Macaca fascicularis: one gene and its partners. The main gene of each other region encodes a partner of the protein of the gene in region 3 in a complex. Links are inferred from orthologs where the notes say so. Each region holds a gene or a part of one and is shown on either strand. Other genes may lie near its edges.

Evidence for each region. The genes of interacting proteins can lie anywhere in the genome.
Region 1: SF3B3 (region 3) and ZMAT2 share a complex: the UniProt entries of both Homo sapiens proteins name them as parts of the spliceosome B complex. The link is inferred for Macaca fascicularis from reciprocal best matches to the Homo sapiens genes SF3B3 and ZMAT2.
Region 2: the proteins of SF3B3 (region 3) and DDX42 are in contact, whole or in part, in a cryo-EM structure (PDB 7EVN), measured with the Homo sapiens proteins. The link is inferred for Macaca fascicularis from reciprocal best matches to the Homo sapiens genes SF3B3 and DDX42. Residues at the interface, in NP_036558.3 of Homo sapiens: Glu159, Ala160, His161, Tyr211, His219, Val220, Val221, Arg222, Lys223; in NP_031398.2 of Homo sapiens: Lys145, Gly146, Ile147, Arg148, Asp149, Asp150.
Region 4: SF3B3 (region 3) and SF3B4 share a complex: the UniProt entries of both Homo sapiens proteins name them as parts of the SF3B subcomplex of the 17S U2 SnRNP complex. The link is inferred for Macaca fascicularis from reciprocal best matches to the Homo sapiens genes SF3B3 and SF3B4.

What each region holds. Positions count from the first base shown.
Region 1 is NC_088380.1:147,179,434-147,181,732, forward strand, and holds part of ZMAT2 (zinc finger matrin-type protein 2), read left to right. Parts: intron 1-465; coding exon 466-539; intron 540-997; coding exon 998-1,143; intron 1,144-2,299. UniProt on the Homo sapiens protein: Involved in pre-mRNA splicing as a component of the spliceosome.
Region 2 is NC_088390.1:70,319,635-70,323,158, reverse strand, and holds part of DDX42 (ATP-dependent RNA helicase DDX42), read right to left. Parts: intron 3,022-3,524; coding exon 2,795-3,021; intron 350-2,794; coding exon 239-349; intron 1-238. UniProt on the Homo sapiens protein: ATP-dependent RNA helicase that binds to partially double-stranded RNAs (dsRNAs) in order to unwind RNA secondary structures. Unwinding is promoted in the presence of single-strand binding proteins.
Region 3 is NC_088394.1:69,784,850-69,788,373, forward strand, and holds part of SF3B3 (splicing factor 3B subunit 3), read right to left. Parts: intron 2,744-3,524; coding exon 2,592-2,743; intron 2,143-2,591; coding exon 1,987-2,142; intron 1,032-1,986; coding exon 876-1,031; intron 347-875; coding exon 203-346; intron 1-202. UniProt on the Homo sapiens protein: Component of the 17S U2 SnRNP complex of the spliceosome, a large ribonucleoprotein complex that removes introns from transcribed pre-mRNAs.
Region 4 is NC_088375.1:111,356,218-111,358,367, forward strand, and holds the end of SF3B4 (splicing factor 3B subunit 4), read left to right. Parts: intron 1-928; coding exon 929-1,102; intron 1,103-1,213; coding exon 1,214-1,401; 3' UTR 1,402-1,627; downstream 1,628-2,150. UniProt on the Homo sapiens protein: Component of the 17S U2 SnRNP complex of the spliceosome, a large ribonucleoprotein complex that removes introns from transcribed pre-mRNAs.

The DNA of each region.
Region 1 (2,299 bases), on a different chromosome or scaffold from region 3:
TTCATTTGAATCTTAAGTGGGGCTGGAGGATCTGCTTCCAAGCTCTCTCACATGCCTGTTGTTTGGAAGCCTAAGTTCTTTGCCCCATAGACCTTTCTATAAGACTGCTCACAATAGAGCAACTGGCTTCCCCGGAGCAAGTAACCCAAACAAAGACAGAAGGCATGGTTTTTAAAATAACCTAATTTTGGAAGATATTACTTTTGACATATTCTGTTGGCCACACAGACCAACTCTAGTACAAATTGGGAAGAGACTACACAGAGTAGGAATACCAAGAGGGTGGGGCTCATCCTGAGGCTGTCTTTGAGGATGACTGCTATACTCTCTCGAGAGCCAAGGCTTTATAGAAATGAAGGCTTAACACTTCTAAAAAGAAGTTTACCTAAAAATTTGTGTTTCTTGGTTGAAAATGATAAGATCCTTAAAACCATATTTGACTCAAGTGCTGTTTCTTCCTGTTAGATATTACTGCAATGTCTGTGACTGTGTGGTGAAGGACTCCATCAACTTTCTGGATCACATTAATGGAAAGAAACGTAAGGCTTGGAGGTAGCTTGTGACTAGGGCTGGAATTGGGTTTTGGAGGTGGGGTGGAATGGAAGGGTAGGTTTTTTTTTTTTTCTTCCTCTTCTTTTTACTGATCAAAAGAAGGCTGGAGTAAGAAAGGTAGTTTCTATTGGGCTCTTTTTTGATGCCCCTATTAGAACTCTCCAGTTGTTTCAGCACAGGCCATCTTTTACTTCATTATGTAATATTTCTGGAGGCAATGGGTAAGAGGCCTTATTCTGGAGGCCATGAGACTTTTAACAGCACCCAAACCATGTGCTGCTCCTGGGCCCAGCTGACCAAGGGAGTTTCTTTTAACCGTAATTATTTGTGCTGTGTGTTTTATGAGATGTCATATGAGAAGATGTCAGAGAAGTCAGGAAAATACTTTTTGAGGGGCTGAGGATGTTTTAATGAGCTTGCCTTCTTCACTGTTGACCCCATCCAGATCAGAGAAACCTGGGCATGTCTATGCGTGTGGAACGTTCCACCCTGGATCAGGTGAAGAAACGTTTTGAGGTCAACAAGAAGAAGATGGAAGAGAAACAGAAGGATTATGATTTTGAGGAAAGGATGAAGGAGCTCAGAGAAGAGGTAAGCCTCTCCTAGTCTTCCCCTCTGCCCCAGATTTGAGTTTTATGTTATGAATCATGGGAGACCCTGTCCTCATCCCACTCCTACTCCCAGCCCCAGAGTTGTATCTCCTGAGTTCTGTATATTAGCGGAAACATTTGTTGCCTTTGTTTAGGATTCTCATGATCTGAAGGAAATGGCTCTGAAACGACTTTTTTGTCCTGGACTCTGTGGGCCTTATTATTTATTTATTTTGGCGATACAGATATTTCTCAACTTCTGACAGGGTTACCTACCGATAAACCCATCATCAAGTTAAAAATATCTTAAGTCAAAAATGTGTAATACACCTAACCTACCATAGTTTAGTCTAGCCTACCTTAATGTGCTCAGAACACATTAGCCTACAATTGACCCAGATTATCTAACACAAAACCTATTCTATAATAAAGTATTCATCTCATTAATTTATTGAATACTGTACTGAATGTGAAAAACAATGGTTATATGGATACTTGAAGTACAGTTTCAAATGCATGTCAGTTTTGCACCATTGTAAAACTGAAAAATCTTGTCAGAGCATCGTAAGTTGAGGACTCTCATCTGTATTCTTTGATTTAATTTTTTAAAAAGACTTAACTTTTTTTTTGGCCGGGTGCGGTGGCTCAAGCCTGTAATCCCAGCACTTTGGGAGGCCGAGACGGGTGGATCACGAGGTCAGGAGATCGAGACCATCCTGGCTAACACGGTGAAACCCCGTCTCTACTAAGAAATACAAAAAAAAAAAACTAGCCGGGCGAGGTGGCGGGCGCCTGTGGTCCCAGCTACTCGGGAGGCTGAGGCCGGAGAATGGCGTGAACCCGGGAGGTGGAGCTTGCAGTGAGCTGAGATCTGGCCACTGCACTCTAGCCTGGGCTACAGAGCGAGACTCCGTCTCAAAAAAAAAAAAAAAAAAAAAAAAAAAAAGACTTAACTTTCTTTAGAGCAGTTTGGGTTTGCAACAAAATCGAGAGGGAGGTATAAAGATTTCCCATATACCCACTGTCCCCCACAACATGCATAGCTTCCTCCATACTTTTTTTTTTTAACTACAAGAGGAATTAACTAAATGTACCTAGTCCTAAGGAGGCCCATGAAATCAGGCTGACTGGGTCAGAATTCTGTTTCTTCCACTTAC
Region 2 (3,524 bases), on a different chromosome or scaffold from region 3:
CTGCTAATCTAGAATAATTTCCTGAGCAAGCCTAGTCAACCAAGTACACAAAGATGCTTCTTCAATAGAAAGTTACCATAAGAATGAGCACAGAATTGACTCAAATCAGATTAAATACAAATTCCCTTCTAGACAGGGTTTTAAACTCACTGAGGCTTTCCTGGGCAGATGAGAATATTCCTAATGACATTCAGGACATGAGACCAACCCTAAAGACACTACTGTAGTCTAGACTCACCATGTTCTCAGAGCCCAGGCCAGGCCGCTCCCTATAGCCTAGGCCTCCTCCACCAATGTTCAGCTTTTTTCCTTTCCCTCCTTTGAATCGAGATTTCCGAAACCAGGCATTCTGCATTGAACAAAATTCAAGGTTAACTCAAGGAAGGGAGAAAAGACCAGAGGAAGAGGATGAGGACAAAGAGGAAATTAAGTGGGAAGGGGGAACTCTTTGCTTAACTTTCAGCCAGCACATTTATGCTAAGGGAGGAACTGTTCACAGGAACCACAGATTAGTTTCTCCTTGGTAGCATAATCCACCAAATTTGAAAAGCGGCTGAGTTCCTTATCTAAGGCTTCCTATAGTGCTCCCTCCCTCAGGCTCTCCTGGAAGGGAAGTTGTTCAGAAAAGCTTCAAACACAAAGAGTCACTTTGGCTACTTCTAACTTCCTTGAGAAAAATGAGATTATTTTTTATTTCTCAAACCATATACTATTGGACATAAACATGTGGAGCTTAAAGAAATGGTGTGTTCAGAAGCAAAGGAAAAACGCTATGTGAAGTGAGGCTTATCAGAACTGACTATAGGGGCAGACTCCCAGAAAGGATGGTAGCCACACAACTGAAGATTTACCCACCAAGCCTAAAAGTTTTCATTGAACTTGACCACTGCCACGATACTACTCATCATATTTACTCATATTCTCTTAGGAATGCAGGGCGGTGGCTCACACCTGTGAATCCCAGCACTTTGGGAGCCAAGGCGGGCGGATCACTAGAGGCCAGGAGTTAAGACCAGCCTGACCGGCCGGGCGCGGTGGCTCAAGCCTGTAATCCCAGCACTTTGGGAGGCCGAGACGGGCGGATCACGAGGTCAGGAGATCGAAACCATCCTGGCTAACACAGTGAAACCCCGTCTCTATTAAGAAATACAAAAAACTAGCCGGGCGAGGTGGCGGGCGCCTGTAGTCCCAGCTACTCGGGAGGCTGAGGCCGGAGAATGGCGTGAACCCGGGAGGCGGAGCTTGCAGTGAGCTGAGATCCGGCCACTGCACTCCAGCCTGGGAGACAGAACGAGACTCCGTCTCAAAAAAAAAAAAAAAACAAAAAAAAAAAAAAAAAGACCAGCCTGACCAACATGGTGAAACCCCGTCCCTACTAAAAATACAAAAATTAGCCAGGCATGGTGGCACATGCCTCTAATCCCAGCTGCTCGGGAAGCTGAGGCAGGAGAACTGTTTGAACCGGAGAGGCTTCAGTGAGCTGAGACTGCGCCACTGCACTCCAGTCTGGGTGATAGAGTGTGACTCCATCTCAGAAAAAAGCGGGGAAAAAAAAAAAAAAAAGCAGATATCTCTGGGAAGGTTAAAGCTTTATCTGACAATCAAGTATTACCAGCAAAATAAAGTGCTTGAGAGGTAGGGCAGCAGGCTTGGGCAAAGTTCTGAGCACAGAAAGTCTGAGGTACAAAAAGAAATGGAAGAAAATGCCAAAGACAAAATCTGTCCTGTTTAAAAGGTCATTTAGGACTGGCTCTCTGTGCTCAGGAGCAGGGGAGGAAACATTATTCTCTTCTCTCTTGCAGTTCAGGTCCTTTACTCCTAGGACCAGAAACTCGGGCACTGCCACACTGCAGCTGAGTTGTACCAGTTATGTGAGCTGGCCTAGGCATTTGACAAACTCTTAACAGTTTCTGCTCTCAAAGTGTTCCAAACCCATTTGTAATTTGGGGACAGCATGGATTCAGATGACTCTAGGTTTGATTTGTTAGAATGCCTCACTTAGCTTTAGACTGGGAGCATACCTGGAAGATGGCAATCAGTGTGGTCAAAGGTCTAAGATCTCAGACTGCTGGGAATAGTTAAGAGGCACTATATAAGCCGGGCACGGTGGCTCACACATGTAATCCTAACACTTTGGGAGGCCCAGGCCAAGGCGGGAGGATCACCAGATGTCAGGAGTTCCAGACCAGCCTGACCAACATGGCAAAACCCCATCTCTATTAAAAATACAAAAATTGGCCAGGCATGGTGGTGGGCGCCTGTAATCCCAACTATTTGGGAGGCTAAGGCAGAAGAATCGCTTGAACCCGGGAGGCGGAGGTTGCAGTGAGCTGAGATTGCGCCATTGCACTCCAGCCTGGGCGACAGAGCGAGATTCTGTCTCAAAAAAAAAAAAAAAGGGGGGGGGGCGGGCACTATACTATACACATATTGTTTCAAAGACATCACACATTTTTAGCCCCCCAGAAGAAAAGTTTTATGGGAGAAGAGCACTAAGAACAGTAACCATCTTTGAGATTAAATTTACTCGTAAGTGTGCTATGGGGTGAAATTACAGGGACAGATTTTAGTACAAAGGAATAGCTTTTCAAAACAGATGTTGTTGAAAGAAGGAGAAGACCAGATAAGACTAGATGAATTTCAGTATCTCACAATTCCTATCTGTACCTCATAAGCCCCACATCCTCCCCCCCACCCAACTTTCTTGTCAAGTTTTTATGTTGTCTGCTCCAGGACTGCTAAAATGTCTTGGTCTTACAACTAGGAGCAACTGAAAGTGTGCCCAGTCCCTCACCTGCATTGCCAGATCTAGGAGTTCCTTAGAAACGTGTTGATTGGCTCCTTCTAAGTTCCGGACCAGGTCACCAGCAAAATTGCTGTCCTTGGGAGTGAGCAGGGTATAGGCCACACCTTTCTCACCCGCTCTTCCCGTGCGGCCAATCCTATGCGTGTGAGTATCAATGTCTCGTGCCACATCATAGTTAATGACAGTCTTAATTGAAGGAATGTCCAGACCACGGGCTGAAATAAAAAGCAACCACATTCTTTTATTCTTCATCTGTAGTCAAAGGATCAAAGTAACCAGAAATGCTAGTGCTCTAAGAAGCCACATTTCCTTTATCTAGGGGAAGTGCATGGGTTTGGTGAGCTGAGATACAGGCATGTTAAGTCACCACCATAGATTCCATGATGTTAGGCCTTCTAGTGTAAGGAACTTTTGTTTTTTATTTTTTTGAGATGGAGTCTCACTCTGTTGCCAGACTGGAGTGCGGTGCCATGATCTCAGTTCACTGCAACCTCTGACTCCCTGGTTCAAGCAATTCTCCTGCCTCAGCTTCCCAAGCAGCTGGGATTATAGGCACACGCCACCACACCCAGCTAATTTTTGTATTTTTAGTAGAGACGGGGTTTCACCATGTTGGCCAGGATGGTCTCGGTCTCCTGAACTCAGGTGATCTGCCTGCCTCCGCCTCCCAAAGTGCTGGGATTACAGGTGTGAGCCACTGCGTCTGACCAGGACTCTT
Region 3 (3,524 bases):
CACTTGATCAAAATACTTCTTTCCCAGCCTGATTTGTTCAAATCAAAGAGCTGAGAAAAGTGGAACCCAGAGTGACACTGTTTACTTTTCATAGGTAAGGATCTGAAACCACGGGCAGAGGAAACGCCTGTTACCAAACAAAGGAGTGTGTGAAACCTACAGAAGGCCTGATGTCCACAATGTAGGCCTCTGGATCTCTTACCTGTAGCCCAATATTCAGGTATAGGAAGCCAATCGAGCCCCTCTCACCCAGCTCATCCTGCTTCTCCGTCCCACCCATTTCCACAATACACAAGGACTCAGGCTGGGCTGGGAGAGCCTGCATGCTTAGAGGTTGCAAACAGTCCTGAGAGGGAGAGAAAAATCATAAAAACACAGAAAATGACAATTTTAGGACAAAAACATACCCAGAGAAATCTAATTCTAGGATTGAAAAAGTACTTCCTTATGCACAGAAAAAGCCCCGGGAGTGAGTTCTAAGAGAGTATTGGGTTATTAGTTATACCCAATCTCAGAATAAGCTTCAGGAAGATCATGCTTTCCTCCTTGTGTCAAAGAAGATAATGGTAAAGGTAATTAAGCAAAGCACACCTCCCGAAAAGTCATCTAGGGTCCTGCAGCAAGTCAAATTTATGCAGTCTCGGTTTTTAACTAAAAAAAGGGAGTTGAGGTTTAAGCCAAAGAAACATTTCTGTAGTCTCAGATCATATCCTTAAACCACAGCAGGAAACTCCTGGAACACACTGCAATGACAAGAGAAGTAGCAGGTATGGATTCTGGGGTCTAACCCAGTTGATCTCAGAGATGGACATCAGGAGTGGGCCAGATGCTCAGGTTCCAACCAGATGATCCTTGAAGCTCAGAGTGTCACTCACTGAGGGGTCCAGGGAGATGATTCTGACAGTGTTGTCCACAAGCCCCACAGCCAGGAAGCGAGACCGCTGCTCTCCAGGGGGTACATTGGCCAGACTCATGCACACCACATCTGCTGACATCTCCTTCCGTTCTGTGTACTCATTCAGCTGTCCTGACTATAAGAGGAAAGACAGAGCGAGGTCAAAACTACAAAGGGGTGGGTCTATATGCTCCAATTCACCCCAAAACCCTGGATCCAGAGAATGAAGGACGGCTGTTGTATTTTCTTCTGCATACTCTCACTCCTCTTACTATAATCAATGACAAGAATTTCTCTACCTGAGTTCTCAAGACTGAATTTAATAGGCTCACAGCAAGCAAAATGAGTATCTTCCATCAATAAGAGAATGAACAAGGTCAATGTGCCACAAATTTTCTTAGCCAACTTTGCTCTCAGGAAATGGAGATATATAAAACTGTTTATGTGTTTACAAGAATACTTTGGTGAAGGGAATTCAAATATGGTTGAAGACAAAGACATCTCAACCAAAGGTACAGTCAGGCTACAAATCTGGCCACACTAGAGCCCTCCTGAGAGCAAGGTAATTATGTGTACTGAACATTCTTCCATATAGAAGTTTTCTGAAATGGAATCAGACTGCAGAAATCAATTCTATGCCAAATATTTGTTGGAAAAGTAGGGAGTGAAATGCAGGAGGAGCAAGTGTTTCGTTGCTAACAGGGGAATTCATAACTCTACCCAGAATTAGACATCAACTTACCCTTTTTCCCCATCTCTGTAAAGGGCCAAATTGGTTTGTGAACACTGTCACTCCAACTCCCTTTTTTTTCTCTTTTTTTTGAGATGGAGTCTCGCTCTGTTGCCAGGCTGGAGTGCAGTGGCATGATCTCAGCTCACTGCAACCTCCGCCTCCCAGGTTCAAGCAATTCTCCTGCCTTAGCCTCCTAAGTAGCTAGGACTACAGGTGTGTGTCACCAGGCCCATTAATTTTTGTATTGTTAGTAGAGACAGGGTTTCACCATACTGTCATCTAAATGACTAGATTACAATGCCCATCCTTCCCTCTGGACCCTGCACTAAGTCCCACAGTGAATGATAAAATAACATACGGGATCCATCTCAAAATAGACCAACTCTCCTCCCGTCAGGGCAATCACCACTTGTCGCTGGTTCACTGCACACTTCACAATTGTTTTCTTTCCAGGGGTCTTCCACTCATTGACTCTCTTGTCTGCTCGTATGTGCCGAATGCCATCTGGATAGACCTAGAGTCAGTAACAGAAAGAAACCTGACTCTAACAATTTGATTCATCACTCAGAATGACCCTCACATCTATCAGATCTGTCACTACAATCAGATGTAGGGCCACTGCATTTGAGTAACCAGTTGAATCAATGACAAAAGAGTTAGCAGGCCCCAGGCAAGGTCAACTTTTAAATAGTTAATGTTTTGCGGTGTCCACTTCAAAGAAGTTCAAAGCTTATTAACAAAACACTTACAAAGATCTTTACTAGAGATGAAAGCTGCAGTGATGTGGCTCTGTAACAGAAAAATGGCAAATACAGAGGGGGATGTTATGTGCCAAAATCATAAGCTCCGTCCCTAAGGCTTACTGGAAGGTGAGAGTGAAGAGACATGAACACAGCAGCCACATCACAATGAAGGCCAAGAAAGAACAAAGCAGGCCAAGTAGGTAAGCTCTAGAACCCTCACCTGCACCAAGGCATCATCTCCTAATAAGGAGCAGGACAAGGTCGGGGTGGTCCCCAGGAACCCAGAGTCAGTCACTTCTTCTACAGTCTCTCCAATGGACAACACCAGGGTGGCATTCACGAAAGACACAATGATGTAGGCATCAAACTCATCTGAAAAAGAAAAGAAGGGAGCTGGTTAGATAAGAACTCACCAGAATTACAAAGCCAAATGAAACACTAAGAGTTCTCTTCAGAAACCTTCCAAGGCACTTCTTCTATGCGTAGTTATTACACACATACACACATACACATGCACACAGAGCAAGATGATCCAGAAGAAAACTAGGGGTCATAAGAGCCTACAGATATACCCTGCTTCCTCAATGTTTTCTTGAGACATCTGCTAAAGAAGTGAGAGGGACAAAGCAAGGGAATCGGAGGCATGAGGACATTTTAAATACTACAATGTTGATACATGAACATACTGAGCTAGAGCTTCATTTATTTGTGCCAGTTGTCAATCATACAACCCCTTCCTAAGAAGAGATAGCTAGAGCTTCATTTATTTGTGCCAGTTGTCAATCATACAACCCCTTCCTAAGAAGAGATACTCCTTCTAACTAGGAAAGACCCCTAACTTCTTCCAAAAGAAGCTTATGTAGAAATGAACATAAGCTCTAATTAATAAAACAGAGATTACTTAAGCCTCTGTGACACTAACTCATTCTAGGGTTGGAAGCTGAGAATCCTAGTCCCAGTGAGAATGATGTAAGAAAACTAGATAACCAGGAAATGGGGGGTGGGGATTGTTTATATTGTTATTCCTTGACCTGTCTGGTTTTTCACTATTTAGAAACAGAACAATTGTGTGGTCGTGAGCAATCCTATTAGAATTTGCTTCTTCTAATTAAATGTGGTTGAATAAACACTAACGAGTTTCTCAAGGAAGTCA
Region 4 (2,150 bases), on a different chromosome or scaffold from region 3:
ACTTCGATCTACTTTCACAGAGTAGGTTTTTTAAAACACAGATGTGCACACACTTGCTCAAAATGACTCTGTTGCTCCCTTTTACCTACAGAGTAAAACTCAAACTCATTACCATAGCATTCACAGCTCTTTATGAGCTGGCCCCTGCCCCTCATTTCTGTAACTGCATTTTGCTCCTGATTACTGAGTTAACTGGCATTTCCTGGAATATATTGTGCTGTTTGACACACCTGTAATCTTTCTGCTTGGGATGCTTTCTTCCCATGATCTTACCCTCCTGAAGCATTCATCCTTTAGAATTAGATCTTGGCTTAGACAGTATGTTCTCTGCTACTTTCTCAAATCCTATCAACAGAGTCATTACTCCACTTGTTATATACTTCAGCATTACTATTACAGTACCTAAATCATGGGAGAAGCGAGCGTAAGGAGTTGATTGAGTAATTGGTTGGTTTGTGCTGTTGGAATAGGGTCAAGGATAGGGAGCACTTTTTACCACTCTTCTTTTTTTGTTTGTTTGTTTGTTTGTTTGGTGATGGGGTCTCACTCTTTCACTCAGGCTGGAGTGCAGTAGTGTAGTTTTGGCTTATTGTAGCCTTGATCCTCCCATCTCAGCCTCCTGAGTACCTGGGACTACAGGCACACACCACCATGCCTGGCTAATTAAAAGTATTTTTTGATAGAGATGGGTTCTCACTGTGTTGCCCAGGCTGGTCTTGAACTCCTGGGCTCAAGTGATCCACTTAGGCCTCCCGAAGTGCTGGGATTATTGGCATGAGCCACTGTGCCCAGCCAGCCTTATTTTCTGTACCCTTTTTTCTGTATAGTTCTCTTTCTGATGTCACTTTCTTTCTAATTTTGTTCTTTTCTCTATTTTCTTTGCCTTCTCTTTGTCTCTTTTCTTCTTGTGTCTGTTTTATTTTCATAGGGATGTCTCAGATGCAGCTGGCACACCATGGCCCTCATGGCTTAGGACATCCCCACGCTGGACCCCCAGGCTCTGGGGGGCAGCCACCACCCCGACCACCACCTGGAATGCCTCATCCTGGACCTCCTCCAATGGGTATGCCCCCCCGAGGGCCTCCATTCGGATCTCCCATGGGTAAGTCGTCTCTAGCCACCTCCCTCATCTGCACCTATCATGTTCTTACAGCTTCCTGTAGGCACATCCCTTGTCCCGTGCCCTTACTAACTTTTCTTTTACTCCTTGCAGGTCACCCAGGTCCTATGCCTCCGCATGGTATGCGTGGACCTCCTCCACTGATGCCCCCGCATGGATACACTGGCCCTCCACGACCCCCACCCTATGGCTACCAGCGGGGGCCTCTCCCTCCACCCAGACCCACTCCCCGGCCACCAGTTCCCCCTCGAGGTCCACTTCGAGGCCCTCTCCCTCAGTAAATTCACATTTTTCCTTCCTCCTGTTACATCTTCCCAATATCTTTTCTATTCCTTGGACCAATCAGAGATGCTGTAGCTCCTTGGGGCTAAGGTACTAATCCCTTTTAGCACCCCCAGCCCATTCCCCTTTTTAATGTAATTTTTTCCACAGGAGGTATTTCTTTTTTATGTTGGTCCTGAGTATTTTGCAAATGCACAGAGAAAATAAAACTAAACTGCTTGTTTATTTGTGGTGTTTTCCTTGACAACAGTAACTTTTTTCTTTAAGAAGAGATGTCAGAGTATCATGAAAAGAATGGTAAGGTAGGAGTAGGAGCAAGGGTGCTCACTCCACATTTTAAAGGCTTGTTCTGTAATGTACTGTTGCAGTTGCTGAGCTCTGCTGTGCACTAGAGTAATTGTTTCCTTACATAGAGCTTATCTTCTAGTTTGGAAGATAGGGGGACCCAATATCTATAGTGTAGGATCATCGTGTTTTTTTCTTTTTTCTTTTTTTTTTTGGAGACATGGTCTTGCTCTGTTGCCTAGGCTGGAGTGCGGTGGCATGATCACAGCTCACTGCACCCCCAACCTCCCAGGCTCAGGTGATTCTCCCACCAAAGCCTCCCAAGTAGCTGGGATCACAGGTGTATGCCATCACACCCAGCTAATTTTTGTATTTTTTGTAGAGGTGAGGTTTTGCCATGTTGCCCAGACTGGTTTTGAACTCCTGGGTTCAAGCGATCCCTCTGCCTCAGCCTCCCAAAGGG